2 linked regions of the Drosophila melanogaster genome follow. The protein of the gene in region 2 purifies or fractionates together with the protein of the main gene of each other region. This does not show direct contact. Each region holds a gene or a part of one and is shown on either strand. Other genes may lie near its edges.

Region 1 (7,739 bases), on a different chromosome or scaffold from region 2:
TGGTTGAGATTACAGATCGTGATCGCCGGAAATGGCATGTTGCTGGTCAGCTTTTGCTTGGCACTGGTCGAAATGATTATGGGCGAAGCACTCCACTTTACGTACACGTTGGATATGAAGAACACGGAAAGGATCACCACCAGCACAAAGGCAAGACCAAAAAAGATGCTGAAAGGCGATATAAAATATGAATTGTAAGTTCGTGGCATTGCTCGTACTTGTCTATATATAAAGTAATGCCTCTTTTAGTGTCCGCGATCTCTGCGATAGGCTGATCGATTCGGCTACCTTGCTTACGTACCGTTCCGGAATGGTGATGCTCTCTTCGGCGATGTACTTTAATCCATGGAGGGTGCTGTTCTTGAGATAGTAGACCACACTCCTCTTAATGGCCGCCCTGCTACAGATGGTATTCTCATCGTCATCCGACTCGGAGTCCTTTTTGCACCCGGAGGAGCCACTTTGGCGCCGCCTGCTTTCCGTCAACGTCCTCATAATGCACTACGTCCGCACTTCTTTGAATCTCCGCTATTTATAGGTCACTTTCTGACTGCACTTTTAGGTGCAATTCCATGGCGGTCATCAGCTTTAATCATATTGAACCAAGGCAAACACGGTCGTCCATTTGCAGTGATAACTGCCAAATTGATTTTAGCCACCCCCTTGCCATCCTCCACGTATTTTGAAAATCAAGTGGATGGCCAGAAAATATGATTACATCGTGGCAAATAAACTTTACACCTGAAAGTAAACATAGATACACGCACGCTTTTCAATAAAGATATTCTAGATATTGTAATACACACAGGTATTGAAAGGGATTTATTTAAGCAGCAGCTTTGTACTAAAAGCAATAATAATTTTTCACAGAAATTTACCATTTAGCTGAACGCCATTAAAATTGCGATCAATTTAATTGACTTGCAGTAAACACAAATGAAAAGTATGAAAAGCTGCTAGAAACCACAAGCATATATACATTAAACTAAATTGGCCAGGATTTTTATTCACTTCCAAATGTTCCAGCAAATAATAACGCAACAATTTCAAAAATCAAGGAAGATAAATTCATTTAATAGGCATCTTTCGTTAGCCAGTTAAGTACTTCATAAATAATCTCCATCCGCATGCGGCATTTTTGCCACTCAACCATTTACATTTGCGTACTAATTGCATAGATTTTTGGCTGGAGGTTATATGAGGTTACTTTTCAAATTATACAATTTCAATATTAATATTCAGTAAAAATTCAAAATACAATACCAAAATGTATCTAAGAGATCCCTATTTCTATATTTACATACTCCATTAATACATTTTAATCTACTTAGAAAAGTTCGTTTCAATTTTCAGAGACTTTCTTCATGCAATATGCACGATAAATAAAATAAATGTTTTAAACTTTCATATTTTAGAACCTTTTCAGTGTTCAAGTTAAAAAGTAGTTGAAATACCTTTCACTCTATCATAGAATTCTTCATCTCCATTGCTAGCTAAGCGCTTTCTATACATTTGTCCCTTCTAATTCGGATTGAACTGGAAGAAGTCCACGTTGAGATCGAGAATAGCCTCTGTGTTGGGCGTTTCCTTCATGGTCAGGGCCTCCACGGCATTATCGCTGGCATGATCGTAGCCATGGTTCACAGTCGGAGGAGCAGTTGCCACTGGCGGCTGCATAAGATCGCTGACGTTTCTAAGCAGACTCTCCTCGGAAGGCGGATGAAGTTGACCGCCCGCCGATAGATTGAGACGCTGTGCAGCCTCGTCTGTGAGCGGATCGTCCAGCGACATGCTCAACTCTGCGTAGACCACCAGATTGCGGGCTCCTTCACTACCGCTGCCGGCAACCAAGGCCGCTCCCTCTGATTCCGGCATCGGTGCCAGCGGCGACTCCATGGCGGACATATCCAACGCATACTGACCCTCGGGTATGCCCAAAACTCGTGCAATTCGTGCATTTACAAAATGCAGTCCAGAGGTATTCCGTATAAGCCGTTGGCTGCGCAATTGCAGCTGCTCCACAAAGTCGTTAAGTTCGTTAAGAAAGAGATCAGAGCGCTGTTCCTCGCTGAGATGGGAATGCCGCTGCAGTTGGGCGGTCAGAAGGCCGAACAGCGACGGCGTGGAGGGAGGATGAACCGTTGATGGTACTGTAGCTACAGCTACAGGTGGTGTCTGCTCGCCCGGACGCGGCATGTGCTCTGGGAATTTGACAAAGTGACGCTGCAGACGGCGTCCCAAAAAGATCTTTCCACAGCCGGGACAAACGGCATTTTTGGGCACGGCTCGTTGGATGGTTGTCGTTGTGGTCGGTTCCTGGCTTATACTGACGCTGCTGCTGACACTCGTGCTTTTCGGCGCTGCCATGGGTGCCCGGTAGTCCTTGTCCCGCAAGTCGGCCACCAGCATCTCAAGCATGCGGGCAGAACTTGGCTCAACCGCTGAGCCACTGGTCACGGGAGCGGGCTGTGGCATCAAGCTGCGCACCTGGCGACCGGATCTAGTGCGATGGGTGTCGGGAGCAGGTTTTTGCTCCGCTAGTGTTGGTTTCTTCGCCACAGGAGCGGTGGCAACCGAACAGGCTCTTTTCGATGGTCTACCCACTTTGGCAGGCGGATTCTGGGCATTTTTCTCTATCGCCGGGCGAATCCCCATGACGGCGGGATCCGGACAGCGGTAAATCGTTAATTGTTGCGTAGCCGCATCTGTGCGAATCACCTGATGGCGCTTTCTGCACAGGAATAAAAGATCACGGAACGTGATCAGAGAAGGTGAATGAAAGCTCCAAAAAATAGGGATTACTACCCACCGATCGATGACTATGTGATCGTTTTTGGACAGCTTGTGCAGACTGCAGGCCAGCTGGCCCAGAGTATCCTTAACGCGTAGCAAATCGCCTCCTGCAGCCGGCAAATCTTCGTCGGGCACGGAATTCTCTGCAGGATTCTTGGCGGCCTCCTGTCGATCCTGTACACCACCGGTCTTATCCGGCAGCACCTGCAGCTCGGCCAGGACCGAGGGATCCTCCAGGAGATGCTTCATTGGCCAGCCACGTTTGGTGGTTACAAATAAACATAAAAACAAATCTATGAACAAAACCGAATCGGATTTCGTGTTATTTTGGTATTTAGTATATTCTTAGATTCCCATGACTGTGGTCACACAAATTGTTTGATTTAAGCTTGCAAATACCTCGTGGTGAATAGACGTGCTCAAACAGAACATAAAGCAAATCTAAGAGTCAAAATTTTTTCTCTTCATCGAGGTACTATCATCATTAGCGTTCACTTATTACATTAAAATTAATAAGCACATCATCATCCCATTTTTAATACAATTTAGCTTTCGATACTAATCGCCTACACTTGATTCTCACCACAACCATTTCCCAAGGTCTTAGCCCATTTAGTTGCGCAGTGGAGAAAGAAAATAATCGATGATTCCTCGAAAAACATCGATGTTTGCGATTTTTCTCCACCTCTAATAAATATTAGCGTTATTTTCCGGATAATTATAGTTTGAACTTGGAAAATCCGCGGAGGCGAAGGAAATGGCCGAGAACGCGGGCTTCATCAGTGTGCCCTGGGGGCAGCACAAGCTGGGCGCGATGTACAATACGCCGTTTCCCTCGATAAGCCGCCCGAAGTGCATCGGTGTGTGCAGCATAAACGCTAGCCGGGAATTTGTGGACGACGCCAGCTGCGCCAGCTACTTGGCTGGCCAACCGTGGCCACCGCTGCCGTTCGATCTTAACGGGGGTATAGAGGATGTGATCCGTAAGCCCGTCGAGAACGGCAAACGGGATCTGGAAATTATGCTGACCTACATTAAGCAACACCAGAAGGAGCTGCTCCGTCAGAGTAGCTCCGATGCGAGAAATCTACGCCTGGACAGCGACTTTGTAACACTGCGCGGTATTTTGCGGCAGATAATGTGCCTGCAGTATGATAATCGCTCATTCCGCGTCAAGGCGACGCTCCTGAACGGCAACGTCTACATGTGCAAGGAGGAAACCCCAGAGCAGCAGCTGGAGAACGCGAACATGAGCAGGGCACAGCGGGTCATGTGCTCCTGGGGCTTCAAGTTCGAGCAGTACCTGACCAGTGCCCAGGCGCAGGGAAAACCGGTGACCAATGTGCCGGTCAACGAGGCAGAGGAGTTCATGGGCGTGTACCGCACGAACCTGGCCGGGATTTTGATGCTATACGGCGCCGAACTGGACTGTGTGGACAGCAAGGAGCCAGTGTGAGTGGTCCAGGGTTTAAATACTTATGAATGATTAATGTTCCATCCATTCATTATTTGTGTATACACTTACACGAATCCCATTAGTGACTTCAAAGATTGCAGAGTGCTCGACTCATTGAAATTCGTAGAGCTAAAGACCAGCGTCTTCAATATGAACCCTCACCAAATTCGCACCTTCAAATCGTTCAAGTCTGCCAACTGGTGGAGTCAGTCATTCCTGGTGGGCATCACTACGCTCTACGTGGGACTCCGCGACACCAAGGGCATGCTGCAGAGGATCGATGAGATCGATGTGGCAACACTGGCCCGCAACAAACCGTGGAGTGCATCGGCAATGGCTTGGTACCTGGAACAGTTTCTGCGCAATCTTAAGAAGCTGCTGGTGAACATTAACGATCCGTTTGCGGTGGTCCAGGTGACTTTTTTAAATAAGCACGCCAGCTACGAAGTGCTGCGCGGTCCGGAACATCAAATCCTGCCCAACTGGTATCGAGATTTGCTCAAAACGCGCTCCTAAGGCAATGCATAACATTTTCTAAACAACAGCAAGTCTGATTTTATAATGGGAATTAATCGTTTCTTTTTGTAATGCTTCCCGTACGATAACTACAACTTAGAACTACTGAATTGAGTGCATTAGTCACTTGAGGTCTTGGGTATCCAGGAGGGGCAAGACGCTGTCTTCCATTTTGGCACTGGTCGGGCCAAAACGTCGCCTGTCGGGCGGACTGACGGCGTTGGAGCTGCTCACTCCGAATGCTAGGGCTGCGCGCAGCGCTTTGCGATTTTCGATAACGCGGTCAAAGAAGCGGGACAGTTTCACGGCATCAGTGGTACCAGCGGCCAGGCTGCGACTGTTGCGGCAATTTAGCCAAATCTCCTCGGCTCCACACTTGTCGGCTGAGGGATATTGAAATAGATAAACGTTAGGAGGAAGCATTTGTTAAATGTCATATTAGGAGGCACCTATTCCGCCCGGCTTCTTCACCCCCATTTTGGGATGGCGCTTCTCGTCCAAGAGATCCAGCTTGGTGCCCATGACCAGGATAGGCGTTTGCGTGGCGCCCAGAAACTCCTCCATGTCGAAGAGAATGTGGCCGTCCGTTCCGAGGTTGTCCGTTGAGAAGCTGCTCAGCGGGCTGGGCGGCGATGGCGGCATGGAGGCTCCGTTCGATTTGTTCGTATCCTTGCCCTCCTTGTTGACGATCTCGTACAGCCAGTCGATTAGCTGCCTCTGCGACTTGGCGTTGGTAAGGTCGTGCACCAGAATGATTCCATCGATGCCCGCATAGAAGACGCTGCGCGTGTTCTTGTGGTTCAGCGATCCCCCAACATCGAACAGCTCCACGAAGTAGGGACACTCGCGAGCGGTGCCCTCCCTGAACGGATGCATCTTCACCTGGATGTTGCAGCCCACCGTCCAGCCGGGCCGGATGAGGGCTTCGTTGTGGGTGATCAGGTGCGTCAGGGAGGTCTTCCCCACACCTGGGTAAGGGGAATTCTCGAGAGGATTAGTGCCACGGAAAGCGTTTGACGTCCATTATTTACCCGAATCGCCAACCACAACAATTCGCACTCGATTATTCATCGCCATTTGATTGGAACTCATTTTATTGGTTGCAGCCACACTAGCATTCAATGACTACTACTAACTACTAAGAAATGTTAATAATGACACAAATTTCAGTGATAGTTAAACTACGATAATGTTATTTTCCAAAAAAACATTAGATTTGAACTTAAAATGTTTAATCATTTAATCAATTTAATAGTTTTTAAATCTGAATTTAAAAATGATGTTCAACACTTTTGTGTTGGTATATTTTCGAGGGTCGCTTGGCATATGCAGACTATCGCCCGCCGGTCACACTGGCTAAAGCTTAAAAAAACACTTGGAAAGATTCAGATAATAAACAAAATCAAATTTATCTGAACTTCGAATAAGATGGAATACGAAAGTGTGCTGATCGTGAAGCCGGAGGTGTTTATCTACAAAATACCACCCCGTGCGAGCAATCGTGGTTATAGGTAAGTCGACAAATCGGCTGGCAAACCAGGTGACTACTTTTTTTCGCCCCTTGCTTTTGGATTTTCTGCCATCAAAATTGAAAGTTCTTCGTGCATTTCAACGCCCACTCACTGCACATATAACTAAATATATATGTGCATATATCCACTGGGGGTGTGGGAATGCATTAATTATGTTTTTCTAAGAAAAAGTCAAGGTTAAAGGCAGCGCGACTTCTGCTGCTGAGGCTGTGAAGTTCAAATCCAATTGATTTTTTTTCCTGGAATTATTGTTGAACATTTTCACTTACACGTATCAGGGAGCCAAGAACAAAAACAAAAAAAAAAAAACAGATAAACACACAGAAAGAAACGGGGGGCAGCGAAAAAGCTTCGCTGGCGTGCGTGTAATTGTTGCTATTTGCAGCCACTCTCTTTGTTTTCCTTTTGTTGCTGTTCATTTCACAGTTAACTGCGCTCAGGTGGGCAAATAACACAAATTATCGGAATAACTCAAATATTGGGGGTATACCATAATTAAAAAGCTACTACGAACGACCCATTAATCGAATGCCAAGCGAATTAATCCACAAGAACCACATTCCACCGGTTTTTCCATTCCAAATTATGGCCTAAATATATCGTAATATCAATTATCTTACGAGATAGTTAATTCTTTCTGTATATATATATCATCTTGGGATCATAATATGCATGATTTCCTCACAAATCCTTTATCATCTTGATCTATTAACTTCTTACAACTACAACAAAAAATGGAAGTTCTTGCAGATAACATGGAAACTAAAAGCATTCTTAGACTAGAAACGCTAGATAAAGTCCATTTCGTTAGTTTTCTGTCAGATCTTTAGACCTAAATAATATATTGAACTTTCCTTATCATTGTGCGCATACAATTTTCGCCAGAAGAAGCGAGAACCATTCTAAGTGATTTATCCTATTCGCAGAGCGGGAGATTGGAACTTAAAGGAGCCCACCTGGACGGGCAGGATGCGACTGGTGGCCAAGGGCACCGCCGTTGTCCTCAAGCTGGAGGACAAGACCAGTGGTGCCCTGTTCGCCAACTGCCCCATCGACACATATCCCGGCGTGGCCATCGAGGCGGTTTCAGATAGCTCCCGCTATTTTGTCATCCGCGTGCAGGACGATAATGGGCGATCGGCATTTCTGGGCCTCGGATTCGGCGATCGATCCGATTCGTTCGATCTGAATGTTGCGCTGCAGGATCACTTCAAGTGGGTAAAGAACCAGGAGCAGATCGAGAAGGAGAAGACGGAGCCCAAGCAGGAGCTCGATCTGGGATTCAAGGAGGGCGAGACCATCAAGATCAACATGCGGATAACGGTGGGTGTAGCTGCATGTACTTTGAATGCTGCTATATCAGCTATTTTTCTGGGAAAGAAGACTTCCCCATCCAAACCACTCATTTTGCTTAATCAGCATATCTGAGTTTCTGAGATGTT
Region 2 (9,447 bases):
CGGCGAGCACAAGAAGGGCGAAAAGCACGAGGGCGGCAAAAAGAAGGGTCACAAGAAGCACCACGGACACTACAAGAAGGGTCACCACGACGAGGACCACAAGAAGTACAAGAAGGAGCACAAGTACGGCGACAGCTTCGAGGAGAAGAAGGAGCACGGCGAGAAGGGCTCCAAGAAGCACGGCCACAAGCACTACAAAAAGAAGGGCGGCAAGCATTGAGCAAGCTATATTATACATGTGATCTTTATGTGAAATGCAGAATTAAAACTGGGAGAGGTTCTAGAATATTATACTGTCTTGTGTTTTATTCAATAAGCTGTTAAAACTTAATCTGCTAAAAGCTAGTTTTGATACTTACAATGTTTCAAATAATATAGCACACTATAATATATTTAAATGTATTAGTATATTAGTATATACATATATAAGGTAGCTTAAATTGTTACGTTTTTTGAAAAGCCTGATAGCTAATCACGACGATTTATCCCATTTCATTTCCAGAAGCAACTCATTCAGCAGATCTCGGAGCACATCGCGACGCAGGCGCACTCGCTCCAAGTCCGGAACTCGATCCCGCAGTCGCTCCGCCGGCTCGGTGGGCCGTCGCTCCGGCCGCTCGAACGGACGGGACGAGAACGGATCGGCGTCGAGGTACAGCGACCACGAGCGCAACGGCAGTGGAGCGGTAGATTCACCGCCGCCGCCAAAACGGCGCTATGAGGATGAGGACGATGACCGGGTTAGGGGATCGCCGCGGTCGCGTTCCCGATCTCGATCGGCGTCGCCAGCGGTGCGCCGTGGATCGCCGCCCAGGCGTCGTGGTGACTCGTCCGCCTCACGATCCGTTTCAAGGGACTAGCGACAGCGAACGGATGCAGACGGAGCCCGACATGCGATGATGAGGGCCGGAGCTGCAACCCCCCGATGAATCCGGCGAGATGGGCTCTCCACGCACTGGACTCTAATCCTCATTCCCAAAAGAAACAACCTCACGTGTAACAAGACAGATTCCCAAATACTTTTTCATGCAGTATCCATCTAAGGTTTTTAGTTGTCCAAAACCATATTAGTTAAGGGTTTTAATTTATAGTGGAACTCGAGTTTGCATATTTAGGTATTCTAATGTTCCAACACAACAACAAATACAAGCACACGCAGAACAAAGGAGAGCGCTTCGGAAAATCATTTGACGGAAGGAAATTTAAGATATAGAAATGTATCGGCAGCCGCAGATTAACGATCTAGTCAGGATTGCTATGTAAATTGATTTGCCTTGGATTTTATTTTGCTTACCCTGGAATTATACTCGAATGTGCAGAGGACGAAGCATCGCCACCATTTTCATGTCAATTTTACACAATTTTCAATTTATGCAACACAACAACTTGATTATTTGACTCCAATCTCTGTATGATGTGTTTCTATATTCGTAATAATTAAGTATTGCAACAGTGCATAATAATTATTCATACATTGATGTCATAGTTAAGTATTAAAAAAATACATATGTATGGATTCTTGAGATGTGTGTTTGAATTATGTAGCAAATGCGCTGAACACTAAAATACAGATATTCAATCAATAAATTAAATGCCAAAATTAGTTGTTTTCCATTTGAATTTGGCGGGCTTTATGCGGTCTTGAACAAGTCTGGTCACTCAGTTTAGAAGTAGGTGCGCATTATTTAAATTGGTATTTTTGCCAGATGTTTAGTATTTTGTTTGTTTGGTAACTCTGCACTTCCAGTTACTTAGTATTTTTTCAGTCAGAGCTGGTATTTTATTGCGCATCGGGTACGGCCACATTATTAGACTAGCATTCCTCCAGTTAAATTTTGTTTTGTGTTTTGTTTTGCATTTTTTTTAACTATTGCCTTTACTTTACTGCCGCCGGCTTCCATACAAATAGTTCTGAAATCAGAAATAACGAACAGAATCGTCTTTCAACGTGGTCAGCTGGACAGCTACAGCAACAATGGCATTCCGCCAGTCGGAGCACGAGATGAGCGTCACCTCACTCGATTCAAGCGTCGAACTGAGATCGCGTTCGCCATCGCCGCAGGTCTTCAATCCGCGCAAGCTCCGCTTCGCCGATGATGACTTTGACAAGGACACGCCCGAGGGAGCGAGTCCGCAGCATCCCCTTCAGCAGCGGCCGAAGCTATCCTCCGGTGAGGAGCAGCAGCTGGACAGTAAGATAGGCAAAGAAGGCGGCGACGGGGACGTGTCCATGTCGCCGCCATGCCAAAAGGTGCGGGCCCTGCGACTCTTTAGCACACCGGCCACTCCAAAGACCATCCTGCAGAAGTCGACGACGCAGTGCAGCAACCATCTGTCGGCGGCAGCAGCGGCAGTGAATGCCTCCAGGCGCAGCGACGACCTCTTCCGCCTGTCAGAGCGCCCGCGATCTCTGCCACTGCACAACCGCAAACTGCCCACCCAGGACACGGCAAATGTGAACCCCTTCACGCCAGATAGTAAGTTTAAAACGTTTCTCGCTTTTGATATTTTAATTAAATAAAGGTATCAATTTCCAGTTCGTTGCTTTAATTTGCACTCCACTTTAACCCATCCCAGCTTAGTCTTATTAGCAATCTAATAATCATTTTTTTTATTTTTAGGCCTCATGGCTCACAATAAGAAGCGCTGTCGCACGCAATTCGGACGCGAAAACCTCAACCTGAACGTGAATGCTATGCAAAAGTATTTGCTCAGTGATGCCTGCGACGACGATGTGACGGAGGAGGCGGGCGACTCGATGCGCGAAATCCACCAGCAGGCACCCAAGCGGCTGGCCCTGCACGACACGAACATCAGTCGCTTCAAGCGGGAGTTCATGCAAGTCAACGTAATCGGCGTTGGCGAGTTCGGTGTGGTGTTCCAATGCGTCAATCGACTAGATGGCTGCATATATGCGATTAAAAAGAGTAAGAAGCCGGTGGCAGGCAGTTCTTTCGAGTGAGTATTCATTAGTTATTGCAACGAGCGTCGTTTAACAATCTATTTGCTTGCAGAAAGAGAGCCCTGAACGAGGTCTGGGCCCATGCTGTATTGGGCAAGCACGATAACGTGGTTAGATACTATTCCGCGTGGGCGGAGGACGATCATATGCTGATACAGAATGAATTCTGCGATGGTGGCAGCTTGCACGCGCGCATCCAAGATCATTGTTTGGGTGAGGCAGAGCTAAAGATTGTTCTCATGCATGTGATAGAGGGCCTACGCTATATTCATTCAAATGACCTGGTGCACATGGATCTGAAGCCCGAAAACATATTCTCCACCATGAATCCCAATGCACACAAGCTGGTGGAGGTGCAGCCGCAGCAGACCAAAGATGACGATGGCATGGACAGCGTCTATGAAGAACTGCGCCATTCAGAGAATCTGGTTACGTACAAGATCGGCGACCTGGGACACGTGACCTCCGTTAAGGAACCCTACGTCGAGGAGGGAGACTGTCGTTACCTGCCCAAGGAGATCCTTCACGAGGATTATTCGAATCTCTTCAAGGCCGACATATTTTCCCTGGGCATCACGCTGTTCGAGGCGGCCGGCGGTGGTCCGCTGCCTAAAAATGGACCCGAATGGCACAACTTGCGAGATGGCAAGGTGCCGATTCTGCCGAGCCTGAGCAGGGATTTTAACGAGCTCATAGCCCAGATGATGCATCCTTATCCCGACAAGAGGCCCACTTCGCAGTCTATATTCAGTCATCCGTAAGTAAATTGAGTCGACAGTATAAGCGACAATCATATTTAGTTGCATTTAAGATAAATGTGCTCACACTAAATACATATAATGTTCGTTTAATTTGCAGAATTCTGAGTGCTGTTGACTCCAAGAGCAAGCTGCAGCTCGGCCTGGAGCTGACCGTGGAGAAGCGCAAGAACGAGATACTGATGAACAAGCTGAGAGAGGCCAAAAAACAGATTAAACTGCTCGAGCAACGAGGTAAGATAAGATAAATAGTTGTATAACAACTTAAACTTTAAGGTGGTTGGTTATCTGGATGTTTACAATTTCTAACGTTTCTGCAACTCATTTTAGTCAATCTTCTTGCGGTGACTAACAATCCGGACAGTCTGGATGGACAGCGTTGCCTTCGCAGCTTCACGCGACGCATGCGCACGCCATTCTCCAGCCATGGCAAGTTCGACAGCATATCCGATCGCAACAAGAACGTTATCACCAATATCTGATAAGCTCGCAACAGATGCCGAACCGATAGCTAAACTCTTCCGAATCGAACGTGAACTAAGCTCACATTGTGTTACCTTTTAAGCGTATTCATATAATCGATACATATTTCTAACTATTCGCTTTCGTTTAAGCTCATGGATTTTGAAGCATTCGTAAATATAATCTATATATTTTTCAAGCTCAGTGAACTTTTCCCTGTTAAGAAAGCACAATCGTTTTAAGAAAAGCCCCTTGTAAACTTTAAGATTCTCGCATAGTTGTAATGAGTATTGTTTTCGAAATTAAAATATTTATTATGTTACATGGAAATCGAAATAATAACATTCCATTCGTTAAATATAGCGAATGCTATTCCATAAAAACTACTGGATTTATTATGACTCCGGATTTAAAACAAAATGTTTGCGAAGTTTTTCTTAAATTCAATTGTTTACTCCACTAGAAATTGTTTTGATATTATCCAATTTCCTGTCAAATTATGTTCCATTTTCCTTATCTGAAAATAACAATCGTCTCATTTTTTTGTATTATCCAGCTAGTTTGCTTTTTTTACGCAATCAATGGAAAGAGAAATGATCATTATTGTAATTTGACTTATTTTCTTTGAGGCACTAAGACTAGATGTTGGCTGTAAGCTGCTTTGATAGAAATGCAATGGGTATTTCATTTAAAGAACAAACTCAGAACTTGGCATGAGTTTGTTTGGAAATCCTTAATCAGTATATTTTCTTCATTAAAAAATAATGTAAATTAATATGGATTACACTTTTGTTATGCGCTACATATTATATTGTTTGTATGATACACCTAAAACCGTCTATAATTCTGATTCTGTTGCCTGCTGCCGCCTTGTTGCTGGTAGTTGTTGTTCCTTGGACCATTATAGTTGTTAAAGTTGCGCTGCTGCTGATTCGAATTGTCCTGGTTGAATCTCTGATTGTGGCCATATTGCTGCTGCTGTCGGTTATTGTAGTTGTTTTGATAGCCGCCACCCTGGTGCTGATTGTAGTTATTGTTGTAGTTGTAGTTATAGTTTCGGCTATTGTTCTGATAGCTCTGTCCTTGGTTTCCGCCTATTCCCTGGCCGTAGCCGCCTCCTTGCCCGTAGCCTCCTCCTCCACCTCCATTGCCACCGCCACCCTGTTGGTTCCTTATGCCAGCGTTCAGCATGCGGTGACCACTATCCGGAACGTAGGCCCTGGTCAAGTGGCTATTAAAACCGATGACGGGACGATGCTTGTTACCAGACTGCTCATTTGGCAGCACCTGTGGCGGATCTACGGCGTTTTCGAGGCGCTTCGCTTCGAAAATGTAGTCTTCATCGTATTCCGGATCCCTGAACGTGGTCGTCACGGTTATATTGTCATTAATGTCCGATAGCCCGGAAATCGGCGACTTAAGAACGCCGCTGATGGCAGTGTTTAGTTCGGTTTTTCCCAAAGTGCCGCGCATACCGTCAAATGAGATGGCTTTGCAAACGCTCTCATCATCCTTTTCGCTGATTTTCTTCACCTTTTTGTAGTGCGGACTCTGATTGCTGATGTACAGGTAATTGTCTCCACGCTTGTTTCGCTTCACCTCCTCTCCAGTAAGTTGATCATAGTAGGGAACCAAAGCCTTGAAGAGACGCTTCTCATCGACGAACGGCAGCAGAGCCACTCCCTGCCAGGCGAACTTCTTGCCATTCAGATCGATCTTAAAGTCCTCCGGATAGAAGTCAATGATCGGTGACTCCGGATCGGACATGAGCTTGGCCCACGGCTCGGGCACGTGTGAACTACTGGCTGCCGGAAAGACGCCCATCAGTTGCTCGAGCGGATTAAACGGCTTTGTGCCCTTTTCGAACATCGTGGACAGTCCCTGGATGTTGACAAAATCCGATGCGAAGGGTGCATAATGGTATGGGAAGTACCAGTTCCAGGAGGCACAGCCCTGATAGTAGTACTTAAGAACCCAGCACAATCCTCGGACATACTGCAGGGCTACAGCGTATCGGAACTGCTGGTTACCCGGTGCCACGTCAAACTTGGATTCGTAGTAGCGGTCCTTGAAGCCATCCTCCCACAATCGCACCTCGTCGTTATTCTCCTCCTCATCTTCGTCATCCAAATTGGCCATGTCACTCGTCCGTTTTCTATTACGAAGTGCCGCGGCCTCCTCCTTGTAGTTGCCGACGCTCCTTTGCTGGCTGTTTGGACCCACGGCGCTGGCGCCAAAAGCAGACTGATTCAAGGATCCGTGGTCCTGATTCCTTTCCTGCCTCTTGCGCGCCTTGTCCCTGGCCTTGAACTGCTCCTCGCGTCGCTGTCGGCTCTTGAAGATCTGGTCCTCGGCATTGCCCAAGTCGGTCATAATCAGCTGCACCCGGTCAAGATTTACATCTCCCGAGTCGGTGAGATAGCCCCTTGTCTTGTAAACGCACTTCTTGTATAACTCCACCAATCGATCTACTGCACCCTCGCGAATCTCCAGGCTAGGCAGGTGGGGCAGAAAATCATTGCCCACAAAGAAGCACATGAACACCCAGTCGTCCAACGCGCGCTCGAAACTGTACTCAAATGGCAGATTCGGCATCTCAAGAGTCTGCTTTAGGTACTCGCGTAGCACACTCAGCCGCACAAAGATGAACTTTACCTCGGCGCCTATGGGCACATCGGGCTTAAAATTGGCGCTAGTTGGCGCAGTCGCTCCGAGTCCGACACACTTGTCCATCTCGTGGCCAAATCCGTTGCAGATGTCGCAGGGACGCGGCTTATTCGGCAGGAACTCCTCCCGAATGATTGTGAAGTTGGGCTCGTGCGTGGCCAGACCCAACATGATGAGATCGGCGTCGGCTCCGCACAAGACGTGCTGCGTGTTGGGATCGTGATCAGGCTGGGCACGCTGCTTGCGAATGTAATCCATGATCTTGTGCTCACCCTCACCGGGCACATTGGCGTCCGACAGGATCACCTTGATGCCCTTCCAGGCCGGGTTATTGTTTTGACGATCATGAACAAAGTAGTGCAAACACTTGCTCAGTCGGTCCATGAACGGGGTGCCCGGCGTGATGCAGTTGGAGTCAAAGTGTTCACCCTTCTCCTTCTCCGGTGGCAGCTTGCAGCCGCGGCTCAGCAGCTCCTCGCGGATCCGTGCTATCTCCAGCCGCTTTTCGGTGGTTTCCTTGGCCGCTCGGAAGCGACGAGATCGCTGCTGATTCATCTTGGCTCGTGGAGCAACGCCATCGATGGCCATATAGAGCAGTTTTCGAGGACGTACAATACCGAACAGACGGTCGATGCATTCGAAGATGGCCACCATCATCTCGTCCTCGTTCTTCGGCGCCGGCTTGTCCTCCGGATGCGTGCACGGATGGATGATGCCGTTCATGTCCAGGTACAGATTGTCAAACTCTATCCCATTTGGATTCGGCAAGGTGGGGTCCTCGTAGATGTTTCGACCGGTGTCCGCGTCCACCTGCTTGTTTTCATTGCATTCTATTATCACGGATGGATACTTCCGGCTCAGCCAGCGAAAGAATGCTGGAACTCCCATTATATCTTCGGTTTAGGCTCTATTTTTCTTATATTTGGTCAAACTCTGCTTTCCTCGTTTTCTTCACCTATACCACAAGCATGCTCCGATCAATGGGACCGTACAAATGGCGGGGAGAAAAAATACCAAAACATATAAAAAATACAAAATGTATGCCATTAGTATTGGCATTAAATTTAATAAAGTGACTAATAATTATCCTAAAAAGTTGTAAATATTAATAGTTCAACGATTTATCTAACCATTTTTTACTCATCCAAAGGGTGTACAATTTGGCGGAAAACCGCTAAAATTGCATTTCTTGTAGCACCTGCGGGGATGCCAGATCGTCAGATGTAATTCATGTGGTCGATTCGAACCAATAGTTTTAATAGTTTAAGATCTCGCAATGGCCAAGATACTGCAGAAATACATTAAATTTTCGGTCAAGGAGCTGGAAAACTATGCCAGCAGCCCGGAGTCATGCGTGCGTTGCATCACCACGGACATGCACCTAGCAATGGGCCCGTACGGCATGGCCAATTTCAAGCACGCGCTCCACGAGCTCCTTATCCGTACCAAGGTGGGATTCTATGACTCGGGGCTCGACGGGATCGTCCTCGGAATCAAGAACATCAAGGTGCTCGGTCAAACGGCGGGTCTACGCGCAGACGATCCCACCATGCATCTGGTCATAAATGCGGACTTTTATGTCTTCCGACCGAAGGCGGGCGCCATTCTGAGCGGCGTGGTGCGACACATCTCCAGGCACCATGTCAGCGCCGTCATTTACCGGGTCTTCAACACCTCCATACGTTTCACAAACCAGAGTGCAAGTCGCGAGGACATCGCCATGGACCAGGAGATCAAGATCCGCATAAAAAACTTCGATATCAGCAACTTGATGCCTTACATCGAGGGAGAACTATTGCTAGAGAATGGCGAAGCTCCAAAGGTAGGGCACTACCTAATTAAAAAACAAATAGATTTGATAGCGTTTTGAAACCTGATTTAAACATATCTAATTATACCCCCACACATTTTGTGCTTCAGAACAAATCCATTAAGTTTGGCAGTCCCCCACCGGAGGAGAAAGAAGTCAAGAAAGAGGACCCAGATGAGATGTTAGATGCTCTTATAACAGAAATTAAGAAAGAACCTGAATTCACGCCGAGAAAGAAAACTTCAACAAAACGCAAGAATGGGGAAAACGGTGACACTACAAAGACGAAAAAAGTGAAAAAAGAAATAAAAAGCGAGCCGATATAGCTTTAAAACCTTTCGTTTTTAACATCTCTGTATATAGTACAAATTAACAATTACATAATGTCGAAATGTACAAATTCAATGCTGAATGGGGCCGAGTCTTTACGTAGTTTGCAATGCTGCTATAGTACCAATATTCGATGTACATAGCGTATGTCTTAGAGGTACAATACCTTAAATATGCTAACACACCTTACCGATTGATCGCCACTGCCAATGGGGTCAGTTGGATATGGTTAATTGAAAACAGTTTTTAAAATGTGAATATGAATACTTTGTAATACATATGTATTTCATACAAATAGAGTCAATATTTTACAATACATTAAATACAATATGTGTATCATAGTTATTATATCTGGTTTTCTTTTACAAATCATTAAAAGCTTGTTACATATTATTTTGATTTCGCTAATTATTAAATAACAAGCAAATAGAAGCAAATATGAATTTCTAATCGTACAC

Evidence for each region.
Region 1: the proteins of Rat1 (region 2) and Rai1 purify together in Drosophila melanogaster (affinity purification with western blotting; one study listed by BioGRID). This does not show direct contact.

What each region holds. Positions count from the first base shown.
Region 1 is NC_004354.4:16,799,063-16,806,801, reverse strand, and holds Rai1 (Rat1 interacting protein 1), read left to right. Parts: upstream 1-3,457; 5' UTR 3,458-3,550; coding exon 3,551-4,245; intron 4,246-4,332; coding exon 4,333-4,765; 3' UTR 4,766-4,873; downstream 4,874-7,739. Other genes in the region: ppk28 (pickpocket 28), read right to left, coding at 1-168, 302-495; CG13005 (uncharacterized protein), read right to left, coding at 1,522-2,731, 2,810-3,042; CG4789 (uncharacterized protein), read right to left, coding at 4,889-5,148, 5,215-5,733, 5,797-5,842; CG9132 (uncharacterized protein), read left to right, coding at 6,194-6,276, 7,224-7,620. UniProt on the Drosophila melanogaster protein: Decapping enzyme for NAD-capped RNAs: specifically hydrolyzes the nicotinamide adenine dinucleotide (NAD) cap from a subset of RNAs by removing the entire NAD moiety from the 5'-end of an NAD-capped RNA.
Region 2 is NT_033779.5:6,906,456-6,915,902, reverse strand, and holds Rat1 (Rat1 5'-3' exoribonuclease), read right to left. Parts: upstream 7,821-9,447; 5' UTR 7,738-7,820; coding exon 5,011-7,737; 3' UTR 4,480-5,010; downstream 1-4,479. Other genes in the region: CG32829 (uncharacterized protein), read left to right, coding at 1-220; x16 splicing factor, read left to right, coding at 503-860; Wee1 kinase, read left to right, coding at 1,976-2,477, 2,622-2,958, 3,015-3,719, 3,821-3,954, 4,051-4,202; Polr1F (RNA polymerase I subunit F), read left to right, coding at 8,126-8,671, 8,770-8,985. UniProt on the Drosophila melanogaster protein: A 5'-3' exoribonuclease. May promote the termination of transcription by RNA polymerase II and promote RNA degradation. Involved in turnover of piRNA precursors.